Linked DNA regions of Oryzias latipes. The protein of the gene in region 1 interacts with the protein of each later gene in a pairwise test. Links are inferred from orthologs where the notes say so. Each region holds a gene or a part of one and is shown on either strand. Other genes may lie near its edges.

Region 1 (8,924 bases):
CCCAGAAAGGACATTGTGCTGCTGGTATTGTAAGCAGAGCTTTCATACTCTTTATTCAAAAAAAGGGAAAGGAAACAGCAGGCTGGAGAAAAACTGCTTATGAGAAATGAAACCTGCAGTTGACAGAAAACTGTAAAAATCTGTATGACATGGTTGGATCATATAGCTTCAAAAAGCATCCATCTTCCCGCAGAATCTTATCAATAATGCCCTTTAATTTGACATCTGTGATTTCCGTGCTGGTCCCTTTGAAGAGACATGGAGTCCGCAAGATGCTAGAGACCACTTTTTTTTTTTTCGATTTGGTGTTCTTAGTGGTGATTGTTTGTAATGATCTGAGTCTCCTCATGCTGTGTGCTTTTTACCTTCCATGACGTACACCAATGAGCCCACATCGCCTTCCTTTATGATACAGCTGTCCTTTCCATACTCCACAGGGTACATGCAGTCCACGATCTCCTGAATCTGTGACAACTCCAGGTTCTTCATGAAGTCATTATCCAAGATGGCCTCCTTGATCAGGTCTTTGGACCTGGAGAAAGAGTAAACCAATGCAAATTGTTCTCATTTAGGATGAAAAAATGTAAAACTTGTTGGCAATTATAGAAGTTTGAATGAAAGAGAACAGGAACATTAGGAATTAATACATGAAAAAAAAAAACATGTCCTCCTTTTGAACACCTCAAGGTGAAGCCTTTTTCCTTCCCTTCAGTTGCTGAAAGAAGTTGGTGAATAAGAAAATACAGGCCTAAAGGAAGCAGATTGTTGCCATTCAGGGGGCACCTCTGAAAGCCAATTTCTCCTTCAGACAGCAAAGTCATTCAGGCTTTTCTATAGTTGTGTGTTCACTTCAGTCATCCAGCAGGAAAGACAGAAAATGAACTTTATAACTAATGTGCATTTCAGCGATATTGCTTTGTCACGCAGAAACAACAAGCTGGCAATGTTAGATAATATTATGGCAGAAGGGTTTTCTTGAAATTTGTAGTAAAAAGTGCATCACTGGGAGTTTAAAAGGTGTACATGTGTTGACCCAAAAACACATGCGAGTCTGATCATCTCAAATGTAGAGAAATGATCAGAGACGATAAAGATCAAATAGATTTTTGACTGACGGACGGACTGACTGAAGAACAGTTCGTCAACTCTTCAGTCTAAAAAGCTTGGTTAGATTTGACAACGTGTCAGCTCAATGAATGAAGTTGATGTGCCAGTATTAACCCATACCAGTAACAGAAAATACCCACAAACCCCAAATTCCAACTATTGGTGGTGAGGCATGTCTTGCATTTTTCAGTGAGTTCCTATGCCTTGGCAAGCCTTAGTCTCAAAGAGTAAACAACCTGGAAGGTATTTATGGAAAGGTCTTCACAAGCTGCATGCCAACAGCAGGGTCTGCATATCTGCACAAACAATGTCAGGCAACAGAATCGGGGTGCCCAGAATTATTTAGACTCCAGCGCCGAGCTCCGCGTCTGCTTTAAAACAAACTCCTTTTCAGAGTGTTTATGACCGGGTGCTTTATAATCTCACTTCTGCTCGTGTTGAACTTTTAAGGTCACACGAATCCGCGTCTCGGTTTGATTGTGAGTCACAAAACCACTTCTGGAAAGAGACAGCGTGGCTGTATTGAGAATAAACCAAGGAGATGGCAGCATACGACAGGGAGCAGCCACCACATCTGGTACATGGTGCGTAAATACCAGTTATAAATATCACCGGCATCTAAAGGACTCCAGCGCTCTAATATTTTTTTTTCCCCCGTTTAGTTTGGGTTAAATCAAGAATGCTACAAATCATTTTTTTTAAAACTCATGATTTTGCAATTTGTGAATAAGAGCTAAGTTAATGAAGAACTTCCCATTATTGACCCAAGAATTAAGACTTCCAAACAGAATGGAAGGAAGGAGAATAGATTTAGTAGGCAACAGAAACACTACAGGAAATGTGAAATAAAAAGAAGAAGAGGCGTCTTTCATTTGGAAAACATCATATTTAATCCTCTAAAACAAGCAGATTGTTTTCACAGCCCACAAGATTTGGATGGATCATTGATTCCACACTGAGAAAAGCAGCTCACTCAAAGCCATGTTTCTTTACAGGCTTGTAGTCCTGTGACCTGCAGCATCAGCTTTGCATACTTTACTTTCACGGCAGCAGTAAAATCAAATAAGCAGAACAGTGTGCAGTTTTTAGCATTGACAGGACGAGCGTCTCTGTCTATCCAAGATTCAAGTCACGTCATTTCCATTAAATGTTGGAGATGAAAAGGTTCAGAAACAAGCATCCAGTTATTCTGGGGGTTTATACAATTTAAAGCTGCTGCGCATAAAAATATATATTTTTTTAATTTAGCACTTGAAGGTGTAACTTTACATTTTTCTCATACATCTATTTTCAAATATGTCATTTATTCAACAAGAAAATAATTAGATCCAATTCGTCTTAGTGGGAATAAACTTTAACAAAGGAGTCTTGGTTTTTGGGGAGCAACAGTTTTTAAGATGATGCTCCACAACAGACCTTTTTGTGCACATTACACAGCAGAAAACATGTCGAATCAACCAAACAAAATCGAGTTCAAAATCCGCCCCCACCAAAGCTGACCCCCAGTGCTCTGGAAATGTGCCTCATTGACCCCATTTCTGTTATATTTACACCCAGGAGGCTCGAAGCCTTTCAATTCCAATCGCTGCCAAGGTTGAGTAAGCTCCTCCAGCAAGACCCTTACAAAAACATCTGCCTTCCCCTACTTTACGAGAATGAGACATTTGCTTCCATCCACTGAAGTTTAGGCAGAGCAAGTTCAGCCTTCCTTAAAAGGAGAAAATATGCACTTTAAGGAGGAAAAAGAGGAGAGGGGTGGCAGAAAAACAGGAGAGGCTCACAAAAATGAGACAAAACAAAGAGAGATGATACAAAGAGAGCGTTCTAAGGGCGCTGTATGGAAGCAAAAAGAAAAACTATTTGTTGAAATGGAACAGACTTTATGGCTGCATTCCAACATGCAGAACATAATAAAAAAGGTATTAAAGATGGTTGTTTATCCACAAGGGTAATGACATAATTAAGCAGTAAAGCAAAGTTATTTTCTCTTAGACATTTTTCGGATCTGAATAAATCCTTTACACAAAATAAAAAACCCAACTTCACTCAAATGAAAATAAGAAGAAAAAAAAACGTAAACACTATTAAAGGTACAGAAACCACTGATGTAATTTGTTTAGTGCATAAATGGATCACAATTATGACTATTAGAGGAGTAATTAGGACTCAAAATGTTACTCCATACAGGGACTGAGATAATCAAAAAAGTTGTCATGTCTAATGCTTAAATTAGCTTTTAGGCAATGTATGAAATATAGTCCTATTAATGGTATTAGCATGGTTATAACTAAGTATTTGTACATTTTTCAAAAAAAAATTTGAATGCATCACTATTTCTGAAGGAGGAAACACATTTGATATTTGTGTTTGGTTTTTTTTCTTGGAAATGTAAGATCCAGAGGGTGAGTTGGCCAAATCTTCACTGATTTACTGAAGTAGCCTGAAGAACTAAAGCTAAAAGCTACTACCTTGACATAAATGACACATGCGGTTACAAAAATAAGCAGGCAGGGGAACAGAAAGCATGGACTAATCTGGAGAATAATCAGCAGCAGCTGGGGGGGTTGCTAACAGAACACAGGTGTGACAGAAGCAAAAAAAAGGAGACCGCCGAGCAAATCAAACGCAACTGACATCAAACAAGACCCAGACAGCAGAGCCAAAGTCACAAACCCTCACATGCTGGAGCTTTGAAAAAAAATACAAATGTAAAACACTTGGAGCAAAAGGGAATTAGGAGATGATCACTCAGCTTTGACAGGAAGTCTGAGACGTCAAGGTTATTTGGAAAAAAGTTATAATAATAAAGTATTATTTTGTTGTTTGTGACATACAGTATATTTTGGGGTTTTGAACCTGACTGTCTTCAGATTAAATGCATTTGTCAGCTGAATAACAAACTTCAAGTGACGCAGAATTCATTATGAGTTAGAAATGTTTTTATGATTGGAAATATCTATATGTCCAAAATCATAGTAACTTATTTTGTGTGTTTTTGCCTTTTGCTTCAGGTTCAGATATCAAAGTGAGTGGTCTGTTTCCATGGAAGCTTGTGAATAAACTACAATCCAGCAGCTGCTGAAAGTAAAACTTATTTTACGCTCAAAGGCGGCAAATCTTCATGTAAACCCAAAATTATCCCTGTAGTCCCTCAATAGACTTTTAATTGTCTCGTGGTGTCGCGGGGGATTTCTGTTAATTAGCCTTTGCTTGCCTTGCTGCCAGTATTGATAACACTCACTACTTAATGTATTGGTTTGAAAGCTTGATTTCACTTTTTCCTCCCAGTCTTGCCTCTCAGTCTGTAGACGCACGTCTGTGTGCGTGCACGCGTGCGCCTCTTCCTTGCGCTACAGGTGAAGTACCTGCTGCGCAACACGAACGCACAAGAATCCCACAGGTGTTGAAGGACGAACGCAAACACGACAATGGATGTGAATACTTGACCAAATGAAAGGTGGACACCTACTGTGGGCTTTTGGGGTAGAAAGGCAGGGTGACGTGGCTAAGATCCTGGATGTCGAACGCAGTGGGTTCTGCAGAAATAGCCTGCCTCTTCGTGCGCTGCTGCTCGTGCAGCTCATTCTGCTTGTGGACCTGTTGGGTTGCCGGTTTGATCACAGATCGGTACTTGTCCAGTTCGTTCTGTAACCTCTGGATAAGTTCGTCTTTCTGGTCGAGCTCCAGCTCCAGCTCGTCAATAAGCGCGTCCCTCTGGCGCAGCTCCTCGATCTTCTCCTGGAGCGCGTACTGGAGGTCGCGCAAAGTGCCCATGTTTTAGCGCCGACGTTTCCGAGAAGTTTAGCGCGCGCTTTGCTGCCTAGTCTTCTTCACCCTCGCTCCTCTTCCGAGTGGCGCGGAAACTTTCTCCGGCATGAACAGTTCTGAGAGGTCGCGGCTGCTGTGTTGACAGCGAACGACGGGAAACGGAGGACTTCCACGGTGAACGTGAAAGCATCACAGGCACAATCACGCAAAGTTTAATGTCCCCGTCTTCATCCCTCTCTCTCTCTCTCTCTCTCTCTTTCTCCACCTCGCGCGCGCAGTTATGTGACAGCGTGGGATCGCCTCCCCGAGTGCGATTTGGTGAGCAGGGCGCCTGCAGGAACCGCGCCACAATGCAGTGTGCCGCTCCACAGAGAGCTGCGCTCGTCTCACATGATTGAGAAAGAAGTCAGTGAGGAAGCCACATGGGCTCTCATACCTCAGCGACGCGCCCCAAGGCTGCCTCTGCGCGCGCAGAGGAGAGCGCAGCCTTAATGAAGTTGAAGGTGATGGGAAATGAACCTCAGCGCACAAATGAGTCACTGTTTGTTTTGGGTTGGATTGCTTGTTTTAAAAGGTGAAAGATATTTGGAAAATATATAAATAATTGAAAGCTTAATTAATCAGGATGATTAAACTTTGCTTGGCAAATATTCACATTTTTGTGGTAATTACAGCAAAGGTATAGTTCCACCAAGCAGATTTAGTCGTATCAAAATGCCAAAGATGCTCATGACTCCACATCTAATCTGGTGCTGTGTGTGCGCTCTGCGCGCCGCTGGTGTCTGACCACTTGATCCCAGTGAGTCATCTGAAGCTCAGGGAATCTGACCCCACAGCGCCCGAACTCATGTAGACGAGGACGATCTGATGGAATTGGGGAGCTGCTTGCAGCAGCAATCGGGTACCGCTGGTGGGCAGGAGGAGAGGGGGTGGTGGGGATTTTTCTTGGATAAACCTGGATGCTAAGAACTGTCTCCCAAACAGCTGGGATTGGAGGCAGATGGTCCATTAACAGACCACAGCTGCCCTCGTGTGGCGGATTTAAGGAAACCACAGGACGAGAATAAAATGATCATCTGAAATAATGAGTTTTCAGAAAAGGTTGTGTTTTTTAGGATTTGCTTTCCCAGTAAGATTTGAGGGTTCATATTCAAACATTTCAAACCGTGCTTTGTGTTACAGATGAGGAAGACTTGTTAAATCGGCGCATATATCTGCAAAAGTGTGTAAAGTAACTCATTTAATAATTAAGCAACAGTGTTTATCTTCTAAATCAGGGGTGTTAAACTCATTTTCACTGAGGGCCACATCAGCATAGTGGTTTTCCTCAAAGGGCCAGATGTAATGAAAATAAACCTAACTACTCTCCTTAATGTTAAATAACTCATTTATTTCTTTATTATAACTTTTTAAAGTGACAATAACAGATAGAAAACAAATGTTTGCTTGTTACTTTAGCATAAATCCTTTTAAATTTGATTCTGCCAGGTTAGGTTATATGGACAGTGTTTATGTCCTAATGTATAGTTGCCCATTCCAATATTTTAAATCCAATTCCCCCTAGATATGAAAAAATACACACCAATTTTAAGTTTTTATTTTAAGAAATAAAAAACTTTTACGCTCTCGCGGGCCACATAAAATAACATGGTGGGCCACATTTGGCCCGCGGGCCTTGAGTTTGACACATGTGCTCTAAATGGATATTAATGCTTTTTTTTCTATTAAATAAACAGATGAAAATACAGTAAAGCTTGCTTGGGGATACTGCAGGTGCATCCAGGGTCTACATACCTCAGAAATCCAGCCCACTGTCCTTCAAAGCTCCTCAGTGCTTCAGATTTCACCTCTCTTGCCTTGCAGCTCTGCCCGTTTCCTAGGCGGATCAATAGAAACAGAATCCGCTGCTTCTTTTGGCTGTAATCTGAGAAGACGAGCCGGCCGCCGCCTGGTGCCACTCTAATGGGAAGGGATCACACTGAATCTGACCCCACTTCAGTGGACAACTTTCTCCAGACATGGCTGGCACCTTGGGCTTGCAAACACACCCGTGGGTTCATTCAACCTTTTTCTGAGAAGCATCCAGCTGTGCAGACTAAACAATGTGTATTATTTCAACTTGTTTTTTTTTCTGAAAGAATGAGAGAGCTGCCACACAATCACTTGAATCATTCTTAGGGGAAAACCACTAATTTTGTTATTTCTTACGGCTGTTTATTTGTTCATGGTTGTGAAACAACTCTCTTTTCAAATGTTGTGTCAGAAACATAGATGGATAGATGTATTGTTTCATAAGCCTTTTGTTTCTCATTAAGGAATAAGAACAACGAGAACTTTCTCTGTTTACAAATAGCAGCATATTACAACGAATTAAAATCGGAAATGTTCTGGTCTCCCTAACTGAATTAACCCCAGTGTTTGTTGCAGTTGTGTAGACAGTAATGTTGCTTGGATGAGTGAATGTTTATAGTTCTATTTATTATCATGTTAGAGTCTTCCAAATGGAATTAGCATCCTTTATGAAACTGGAACGCTTTATTGGCACAGACATTTTGGGGAAGGTTTTGATTTTAATATATGAAACTTAAGTTAAGCAACAAACATGATAACCAAGGTAAATGTCCAGGAAGAAGTTTGTGCAAAGTCCTCACAATTTATGTGCAAACATGTCAGTGTGTGTACTTGTTCATATGCCTTGTCAGACAATTTCTGATATGATCACCTAACGCGTTGAAAAGCGACGGAGTACCAAAGAGTCTGCCCTCAAAACCTCTGATAAATATGGTGTGTGTGTGTGTGGGGGGGGGGGGGGGGGGGGGGGGGGGGAAGTTTCAGGCTAGAACTACCAGGATGGAACTAGAGTGATTTAGCCACAAAATAAAGCAGCACAAATAAATGTGTGCATTTTTGTACTTGGGAAGACCACCTCCTGACTTTGGTAGGACACTTTTAGGAGTATCAACTTAGTTTTAAGGTGAAGGTTTGATTAATCATGGTGGACTGAGGAATGCATTGTTTCTGGAAAGTACTTGAAAGACCAACATGCATATGTGTGGGAGTGCACTTGTCTTTGTTACCAAGGTATGACCTTTTTTGGTTTAATCTCTGATCTTCAAGAGTTCTTACGAAAGCTATAAAACAGTTCCTGATGTGGACGCAAATACTTTTTGGTGTCCAGAGTACATTTAGGGCCTTGAAAGTGAATGAAGGTGAGGTCAAAGGTGAGATGAGAATGAAGTTGGGATTTGGAATGCAAGAATGGAGTGGGGAGGGGCATCTTTCTCAAAACACACACAAAAAAGTTCTCAACTGAATAACAAAAATGACAAATGTTATGATTGCAAAAGAAAAACATAATGTTAAACTTTTTACATGAAAAAACAAAGTAAATATGAAGTCAAAATGTACAATATCAAATATCTTCCATGGATTCTCGTGAGCTTCAGCACTGCTGAAACTCAAAATGAGATGGTGTGAGCTCAAAGAAAAGGTGATGAAAGAAGCATATGGTCAAGCAAAGCCTTTTCTAATGGAGTATTAAATATCCCTAGACATGCACTTTGGGTCCTCTGTATCCAGCTACTAAAAGCCAATAATGCATAGCACTTCCTCCAGCCTGTGTCCTGTGGGACTGTCATGATGGATCTGATCAATTAGGAGCTCTTTCTGGAGCTTGTCTTGGAGCTGCGTCATCGCCCTCAAGAATGAAAGTGCTGGTCCATTCATGGCAAAGCTCTCAGATTCCCGCTTGTGAAAAAAAACGATTTTAAAGGTGTTTTTTCAACAACAAAAAGGGGGACATTGTGAAAAGAGCAGTGTTGCCGTGTTTGTGGGTGACAGAGCGTAAAGCGATTTTTATCAATACATCAATCTCCACACTAAAGCATACTCCTAATAGCCCAGCATCGATTGGAAGCTTTCCTGGAAACATATTTTCATTTAACCAGGGGGAAGAAAACACACATGAAATGCAAAGAGCCGCCTGCTGAAACTGTCTCTTACCAGTCAGATTTAGGATATCTCCGAAGCGCCTGTCTTGACAGGTCCTG
Region 2 (8,316 bases), on another chromosome or scaffold:
ACGCCTGACCCGCCAGAGCTCGGCTCCACGCCTGACCCGCCAGAGCTCGGCTCCACGCCTGACCCGCCAGAGCTCGGCTCCACGCCTGACCCGCCAGAGCTCGGCTCCACGCCTGACCCGCCAGAGCTCGGCTCCACGCCTGACCTGCCAGAGCTCGGCTCCACGCCCGACCCGCCAGAGCTCGACTGCTGGCCCGACCCGCCAGAGCTCGACTGCTGGCCCGACCCGCCAGAGCTCGACTGCTGGCCCGACCCGCCAGAGCTCGACTGCTGGCCCGACCCGCCAGAGCTCGACTGCTGGCCCGACCCCGAGCCTGACTCCGAGCCTGACTCCGAGCCTGACTCCGAGCCTGACTCCGAGCCTGACGCCTCGGAGGACTCCACACCGGACCTGCCTCGCCGGACCGCTCGGCCTCCCGGCCGTCCTCCGGACCTGCCTCGCCGGTCCGCTCGGCCTCCCGGCCGTCCTCCGGACCTGCCTCTCCCCAGACCGCACATCAGTGCTTGAAATGTGTTTCAAGCAGGACCTAAAAACTCCCAAACCCGCCCAAATTATGTCCATCCACCCAAAGCAATTTTTGCCTCCAAAGTCAGAATAAAAACCGCCTTGTTTAGCTGAAAACCACCCAGTATGGCAATACTGCCTCTGCTTGTTGACTTGAGAATCTCTGGACTCACTGTTGACTGGAATATGAACGACCCTGGGAGTATTTCAGGCAGGCAACTCAAGCAGTGCGTTTACCTGGTTACTCCTTCCCACGGGCAGTTCAGTCTAATCAACTCACCTGTTTAGCGTCCTACTTAAGTTCCAGGTGCACTCCAACCCCTCTTCTTCCATTTCTGCGAGCTCTGCGTTCATCACCCCACCCTCCTCCCCGGCTTCCACCTGTGAGCTCCGTTAGGGGTAGTTATTACCCAATGTTTTCTATGGAGATCTTTGTTGTATGTATCTGAAAGGAGCCTTATGCCAAACTTATAGAAACATGGAAATAAATCTTTACTGCATGAGTTGTCTGACTGAGATACCATTGCTACAGGAGGACGGGGGAGGACCAAACTCTTTTACCTGAAAAATCTTATGTCAGTTCAGTGATTTGGGTTTTTTTGGGGGGAGTGACATAATGATGGACGTGAAATTGATTTTAGACATTTTTATTAAATGTTCAGCTCGGGGCCCCTAGATAATTGGGGACCCCAGTCGATCCTCAACCTTTGCCTAATGCTAAGTCCACCCCTGTGTATCTGTGGTTTTCAACCGCTACTGCTGTTACTCTAAGTCAGTTGAATGACAGTAAATGTGTTGCTGCACAGGATTTGAATCCTGATCGTGATGGCCGGGTGAAGTTTCAGGAGAGAGAGAGAGGTTAACTCCAAACTCTTATGTTCACAAATGTTTGCAAGTTTAATTTAGCATAATTATTTAATGGTTTGGACATTTAAATTTTAGGCAGGTGTTTCATTTTTTTCAGTAGCCCCTCTTAAGTTTATTATTGTGATTGCTTCAGTGTCAGATGTAAAATATTCAGTCTGCATAAAATTGAATAGACCTTTTTTTTTAAGTGAAATTAATTTTATTTAAGATCCATTGGCCTCTGTGAATGAATGTGTAATAATAAATGATTAGGCTACCATGTTGGTTGAGGCATGTATTCCAATTGAGTACAAAAACAAAAACAATGCTGTTATTTTGCTTTTACTGGTCCGGCCCACTTGGGATCAGACGGATTGAATGTGGCCCCCGAACCAAATGAGTTTGACACCCCTACTCTAAGTACTAGATCAATTTTTGATGCGTACATATCTTTATATTTTACATCACAACATTTTCCTAATTTCCAGTCCATGCATTTCTTTATTTAGGGAAACCGTAACATGTTTAAACTTTTTGTTTCTTTTCAGTGTATAGGCCTTTCTTTTTGTGTTTGCAGCCTTTTTTCTAGTACAGCTGTGTTGATTCCAGCAGCTTTTACATCTTGTTGCTACATCAGAAATTTGTCTTCAACAAAACTTAACATACTAAGTTCAAGAACTGTAAGGTTGATGGTGTAGTGGTTAGCGCCCTTGCCTCTCGGGAAATAGGCCCTGGCTCAAATCCCAGCTGGGTGCCTTCTGAGTAAATGTTCTCTTAGATTATGTGGAGGTTTTCTCCAGGCAACCCAGCGTCCTCCACAGTCCAAATAAATGTTTTATAGGTAAATAAGTGATTCCAAATTGTTCCTCAAAAACAGCTGGATAGGCTCCAGCAACCCCACAACTCCGAATGGGAGTAAGCAGGTTTAGAAAATGGAAGGATGGCAAAGCATCTTCTTTCATAACATCCTCTGCATATCTCCCTGACTTTAAAGTTTTCCTTTAGTGATGATAAAACTGGTATAGATATTGAAGAAAGTTATTTATAGTACTTAAATTGTGTTTCGCTGGACTGCAAAGACCATACTGTTTTCACAATTCTTTTTTCTTACTGCACCTTTACGCAAACATTTTTCCCTAGCAACAAACTCACTACAATTTGCATGCACCTAGTACCGGGTGAAAACGTTTTTTTGGCATAGGGAAAGACCACTTCTCCCGAGTGATGACATCACAGCGGGAGAAACCGTCTAAAACATAAATGGGCCCAAAATCTGTTATGGCGCTAAAAATAAATAGTTTTAAATCCAATCCAATCAAACAGAGGATGTTTGATTGGCTGTTTTTTTCTATTAGTATATTTGTACTTCTTTTTGTATTTATCTTTGATGGCCCGTGATCTACCGTCAAATCTTTCGCAATCAACGTAATGAGCACCCCTGCTGCAAATAAAAATAATAATGTTATTTTCCATCTAATTTGAACTTGTACTACAGAGCATAGTCCTCTTATTTAGCAGGCTGTGTTTTCAATCCTATGCTTTCCTTCTTCATGCTTAGGAATTCTTTCGCTTTATTTTACCATCTAACAAACATAAATTCATTGATTCAGCAGAAAATTTTCTGTAAATCAGTGGCCTTATGTGATCACATGTTGGCTGTAACTTTTGTAGTGAATTCATGGTGGGAGCACAGCATTTTAAACCAGGTGGCACTGAAGCATCATGCATATGGTCCATTGTCATGATAGATTAGTTTATTGTTTCTCTCAGTGTTTCTCCAATCCCAGTAATGGACTGCAGCCTAATCGGCTTGAACTTTCCAAACTACTTATCTCCTAGCGCCCGGACACACATCCCCTCTGAAACAGATACTCCTCCAACAACGGCCGTTTTGTGCGAGCCTGTTTCCATACAGGAGGGTGTGCTCTTTCACGCTGAAGCATTCCAGCAGCACTTAGTGAAACCAGCAGGACACAGCCACGTTCTCTTCAGGAAAGCTCCATTAACTTTCATTATGACGGGTGGAGTTTTGAGAATGCGGGTCTTTTAAAATAATAAAAAATAAGTACTGCTGAAATATCTGTTGAATGTCAAATTCTTAAATCTTTCCTCTACTCTCACATTTCCCTAACATGGCACACAAAGCAGTGGTTGTCCTGCCGAATGGTAACCACCATGCTCTGCAATAAAACTTAATAGAAAACACTTATTTAAATGACAAAAAAAGGAATAAAATTCAGCAAATACCTATTTCCAAGTTCATGTTTTGGGAGGTATAGTGTCAAGTAGTTTTTTTTCTTTTCTTTTACGGAAACTAGTTATTTTGAATAGGTAGAACAGAAGACATACCTGCAACAGGATCTTGTTTCCATCATAGTCTTCGGTCTGCCAGCGGACCTCACTGATGGGGCTGCAGGGGTGTGGCAGCAGGGGCACCAGTTCCCCAACGTCCCGTACCCTCACCTCCATCACAGCTGACTCCAGCACCACAGGACTGTGGCCTCGGGGGAGCCTCTTGAATGACAGCTGGATTTCCATGTCAGGGTTGGAGTACACCACAAAGAAGCAGAAGTCCTCCTTCTTCTGCGCCACCCGTCGCTGAAGCAGGAGCTTGTAGAGCCGAACCATGTCCATGTAGTTTTCATGAAGACAGTAAATTGTAAACCTCACGATTTCCTTGCCGTAGTGAACCTGCCTCACAGCCCAGAGTGGTGTTCCTGGAGCAAGAGTGAAAAAGTCCTGACTGCAAGGGGTCAGTGGCAGCATTTGGCGGCCATTGCTGACCTTTTCAGTGTGGTGGTAACGCCAAGGTGGCCTCTGCAAAGTGTGGTGCAGCATCAGTATGTGCTCTTCACCGCCGTAGGCCTCTTGGAGGAAGAGGATGACCGCCATGGCTGGCTGATAGGCTGCAGACGGGCCGCTCTGATGGGGCTTCTGCCGCGGCCGCTGGGAAGGAGAGGCCCGTTCGGAAACTCTGAAGAGCTGCAGCTCGGGGTGAACCCACGACAGCACGGCATCAGCAGCCCGCTGCAGAAACTTGCCTTGACCGGGGTCGGCAATGAGGTGAATGCTGACGAGGAACGGGTCCTGGAGCTCACCCATGGATAACTCGCCTCCACCAGTTGATAGAAAAAAATAAAAACAAGAAAGATGTTAAAACGGTCTGCCACTGAGCATCGCAAAAGGTTTGATTAGAATCCAGTAAAAACACAGCAGTAAGGAATAGCTTGGTAAAAAAAAAAGCCTGAAGGTCTTTTTAAAGATAGTAATCCAGATAAAACATTTACTATATGCCTTTTTGACAGGAATCCTAGATCTGTCTGTTTTCTCTATCTTACAATTACCAACAGTTTATCTTATACATTTTCTGTCCTCGTCTTTGTTCCAGCTGTCTCTGTTTCACTTATCTATATCCAACTCCATTTTTCATTGTCAATGTTTACCTCCCCTTCAATCTACCAGGCCTTTGTGAGTCTACTTCTTTGTGGAAGCTCATTAGTGCCATTAAAAGTCATTACTGCAGCCCAGAGCAGCAGCCTCCCAGACCACAACAGCAGAGATGCATTCAGGTGAAGCGTGTCCCTGAACTTCTGACCTGGTAAAGCTCAGGAGCTGGCCTGCTTCCAGGCAACATACATGTTGTGTTTCGAGGATGTATGTCCTGGCATACTCGATCTGCTCTTATCTCCATGTAAGCTCAGGGCCTGCCTTTTGAAGAAATATTCCTGCAGTCTTTATCTGATTTCTCAGGGGAACTGTCCCGTTTAGTTGCTGCTTTGAGAGCAGATACACAGTCTTCTTGTCCCAAGTATAGCAGAGTGTTTGACTGTTGCCAAAATCCCAAAAAGAGAGGCCAGATGGGGATTGGACCAGTTTCATGAATCCCATTAGTCTTTTCTGCTAGGACAAAGAAGTGACATTTCCAAACTGTTAAGCTAATGTTACAATGAAACCAGTATTGAAAAACAGATGCTGCACACCTGGCATATCATTAATACATACAATTATCGCAACTTTTACTTTTTATATGCACCTAGATTTATCTTGGAGAAAATTGTATCTGATTTGATGGGTTTTATGAATGAAAGTGGTGTCACAGAGCGCTCCTCTTTAAAATGTATCATGTTTACTATTTTACTTTTAAAATTAGTTTTCAGATCAATAATCAACTCAAAACGATTAACTTTAATCAACAAAAATAGTTTATTACAACCTGTCATACCACAACAAATGTTTGTTTGAAATTTGTTGTGTTTTGGAATCTCAGTTTCCGTTTTTGAAATCTTTATGGTTCGTTTTCCGATTTTATTTTGAAAATATTTCATTTTCGGGTTTATTATTTTTATTTGCTTCCTGCTTTCTTTCATTCTTGATTTTCTTTTTGCCAATTTCCACACATGCTTTGTGTTAGCCGTCTTCCTCCAAGCATATATTCTTACTAGCTTTTTGTTCAACATGAGATCTTATCTTTGTTGATCCTTGTTCCTGGTTTCTGTTCCAGTGTGCTTCTGTGCCTGGTCAGCCCATCCAGTATTTTATAGCCAATAAAATCTTAGTTTAAAACATGGATTCAAACAACTGACAGATCTGTGCTGATGTCAAGTTTTTATTCAACCCTGTGACAAACAAAAAAATGAGGAAAGTCGTTTGGCAACAGACTAAAATCTGAACCAAAATTCTCATCTAACAGATTTTTTTTGGAACCACTTGGCAAGAGATGTATCTCAAAAGAGTTTTAGATTTCGTCGCCTCAATACTCCAAGCTTTACAGACACCTGCTTAGAGAAACCCGCTGATTAACATCTGCCCCATTTCATTGGAATCAGGGCACATCTACCTGACAGACACCAAACAAAAAGATGAAGGGGTTTTATTAAGGGTGTTTACAGTGCAGCACATTGAGCTATCACTCACACAGCTTGACCTTTTTGCACTAACAGCTTCTCCGCACAAATCGTCTGACACGAAACAGGCCCACCAGGACAGGAGACCTTTGTCCGTGTTGTCTCAATAATGTCTCACCGGGAAAAACGCTGCCTCTTTCTGAGCTCCTCCACCCTATTTTGTTGGGTTTTATTAGTGCTTACACATTTGATTCCCCACTTTTTCACGTCATCTACTTGCCGATCCACGTTTATTGTTACCTGATCTAAAAACGAACTCAAGAATAGGGTTAAAATTAAAGCCACAGACCTTCTGAAATTCTCATTGCTCTTGTTTTGGGCGTTTTTCTTATGTATTTGTATCAAAGCCAGCGTCAGAAATAAGGGGGAAAAAATGGTTGTATTTGGTTGTCCTCCCCCATTTTTTGGTTGTCCTTCGATACCAATATTCAACAGCAACAAAACCTACTAAGATGTCAGTACTTATATCTGTATTTCTTCTATACATCTAATATCAACTGGCTCTTATGATGGACATTTAAAAAACTAAAAATATTAAAAACAAACATTTTACTAAATATTGAAGCATCTGGTTACACAAAGTATTGCCATGTAAATCAAATACTGTCACGGTCAAATGAAAATACTTTATCTTACCCTATAATATATAAGAAAATTGATTAGATTAACCAACACTGTAACCTAATGGGTATTTTTAAAATTTAGAACACTTGTATGGACTGGGACTAGTACAGCATTCTAAATATAAAGTAATATTTATATGTAGTGAAAAGTTATAATATGATAAAACATCTATTTCAAATAAACACATGTGTAAATGATACCATGTTTACATTGTGCGCTGCAGTAGCAGTAAAGACTAATATCCCCGATCTTTTAAGCAAGACATGCAGGTGCAATGTTGTCATTTTTGACAAGAAATTTCAGACAAGTTCCTCAAGGGATATGTCATCATCATCAATGTCCGACTCAGTCTGCTGAGGCTGATGCCGCTCACGTCTTCGGGCGTACTCTGTTCGTTCGGAAGTCACGTGACATTGTTCATGTACACTCGGTTTTATCCTAAAAAGTCGGACGTTGGATTCCCAAAAACTTTGAAAAATAGTTGAAAAATACCAAAATGTTCAATAAAAGACCAGTTTGTCACACGGACAACCATCAGGTTCATTTTTGGTTGTCCTGCGTGAAATCTGGTTGTCTCGGACAACAGGATAATCGCTTATTTCGAACGCTGAAAGCTATCCAGTGACAGCTGGTCAATTCAATATTTAAACAAATGCAGACCAGCTTTGATGAAAAGTGTGTTTTTGGTGTTTTTGACACGTTCTTGTGTCATTTTTCTCATAATGGAGGAATTTGCATTTCTGAGTATTTTTTTATTCAAATCTTTTTGAATCAGGAGCAGAAAATAGTGTGTTGGAAAAAGAGCGTATTTGAGATGTCAAAAATATGCAGGGTGTGCCACAAGCACCCTGCTCCGGTACCATTCTGATGGAGCCATTTGTAGACGACAAGATCCATGGACGTCTTTATTTTCCTCTTTTTAGTTGACATCTGGCCCAAAACTGTACATCTGGATAGCTCTATTATTGTTTGCCATTTTTGTTGCACTGGTAATAGTAAATTGGGGGTGTGAGAAGCTGTAAGATAGCAGGACACCCTGTTAACAGATTTGTGATGGGAAGTGGGGGTTGGGCTTGCCCCGCTCCAGGTGTCCCCCCCACAACTCCTAATGAACTCCTTCCGCTCTGCAGAAACTATGTCCTAGAAAACAACAGGTTTTTGGGTTTTGTCCAAAAATAACAATCATAATTAATAGACCACTGGGAACACTTTTAAAACGCGATCAAAAGATGACTTTAAAACGTCTTAGGTTAAAAGTTTGGAATTTCTTTGTTTCAAGCCATTCTTAACTAACTTTGCCTTTATTTATTTTTTTAGGGCTGCCTGAAGTGGCAACTCTAATAACGTCTTCTGACACAACAGTTCATTGGGGACATGAGGTGATTCGAAAAATCACAAATTACTGACAATGTCTATTAGGAATTACCAAGAACTGGTA

What was found.
Region 2: the proteins of prkg1 (region 1) and protein FAM124A interact in binary tests that used the Homo sapiens proteins (3 or more experiments, as listed by UniProt). The two-hybrid records come from large-scale screens. The link is inferred for Oryzias latipes from reciprocal best matches to the Homo sapiens genes PRKG1 and FAM124A.

The regions. Positions count from the first base shown.
Region 1 is NC_019873.2:20,152,824-20,161,747, reverse strand, and holds the start of prkg1 (cGMP-dependent protein kinase 1), read right to left. Parts: upstream 5,428-8,924; 5' UTR 4,882-5,427; coding exon 4,577-4,881; intron 533-4,576; coding exon 366-532; intron 1-365. UniProt on the Homo sapiens protein: Serine/threonine protein kinase that acts as a key mediator of the nitric oxide (NO)/cGMP signaling pathway. GMP binding activates PRKG1, which phosphorylates serines and threonines on many cellular proteins.
Region 2 is NC_019879.2:5,052,798-5,061,113, reverse strand, and holds part of protein FAM124A, read right to left. Parts: intron 4,470-8,316; coding exon 3,700-4,469; intron 1-3,699.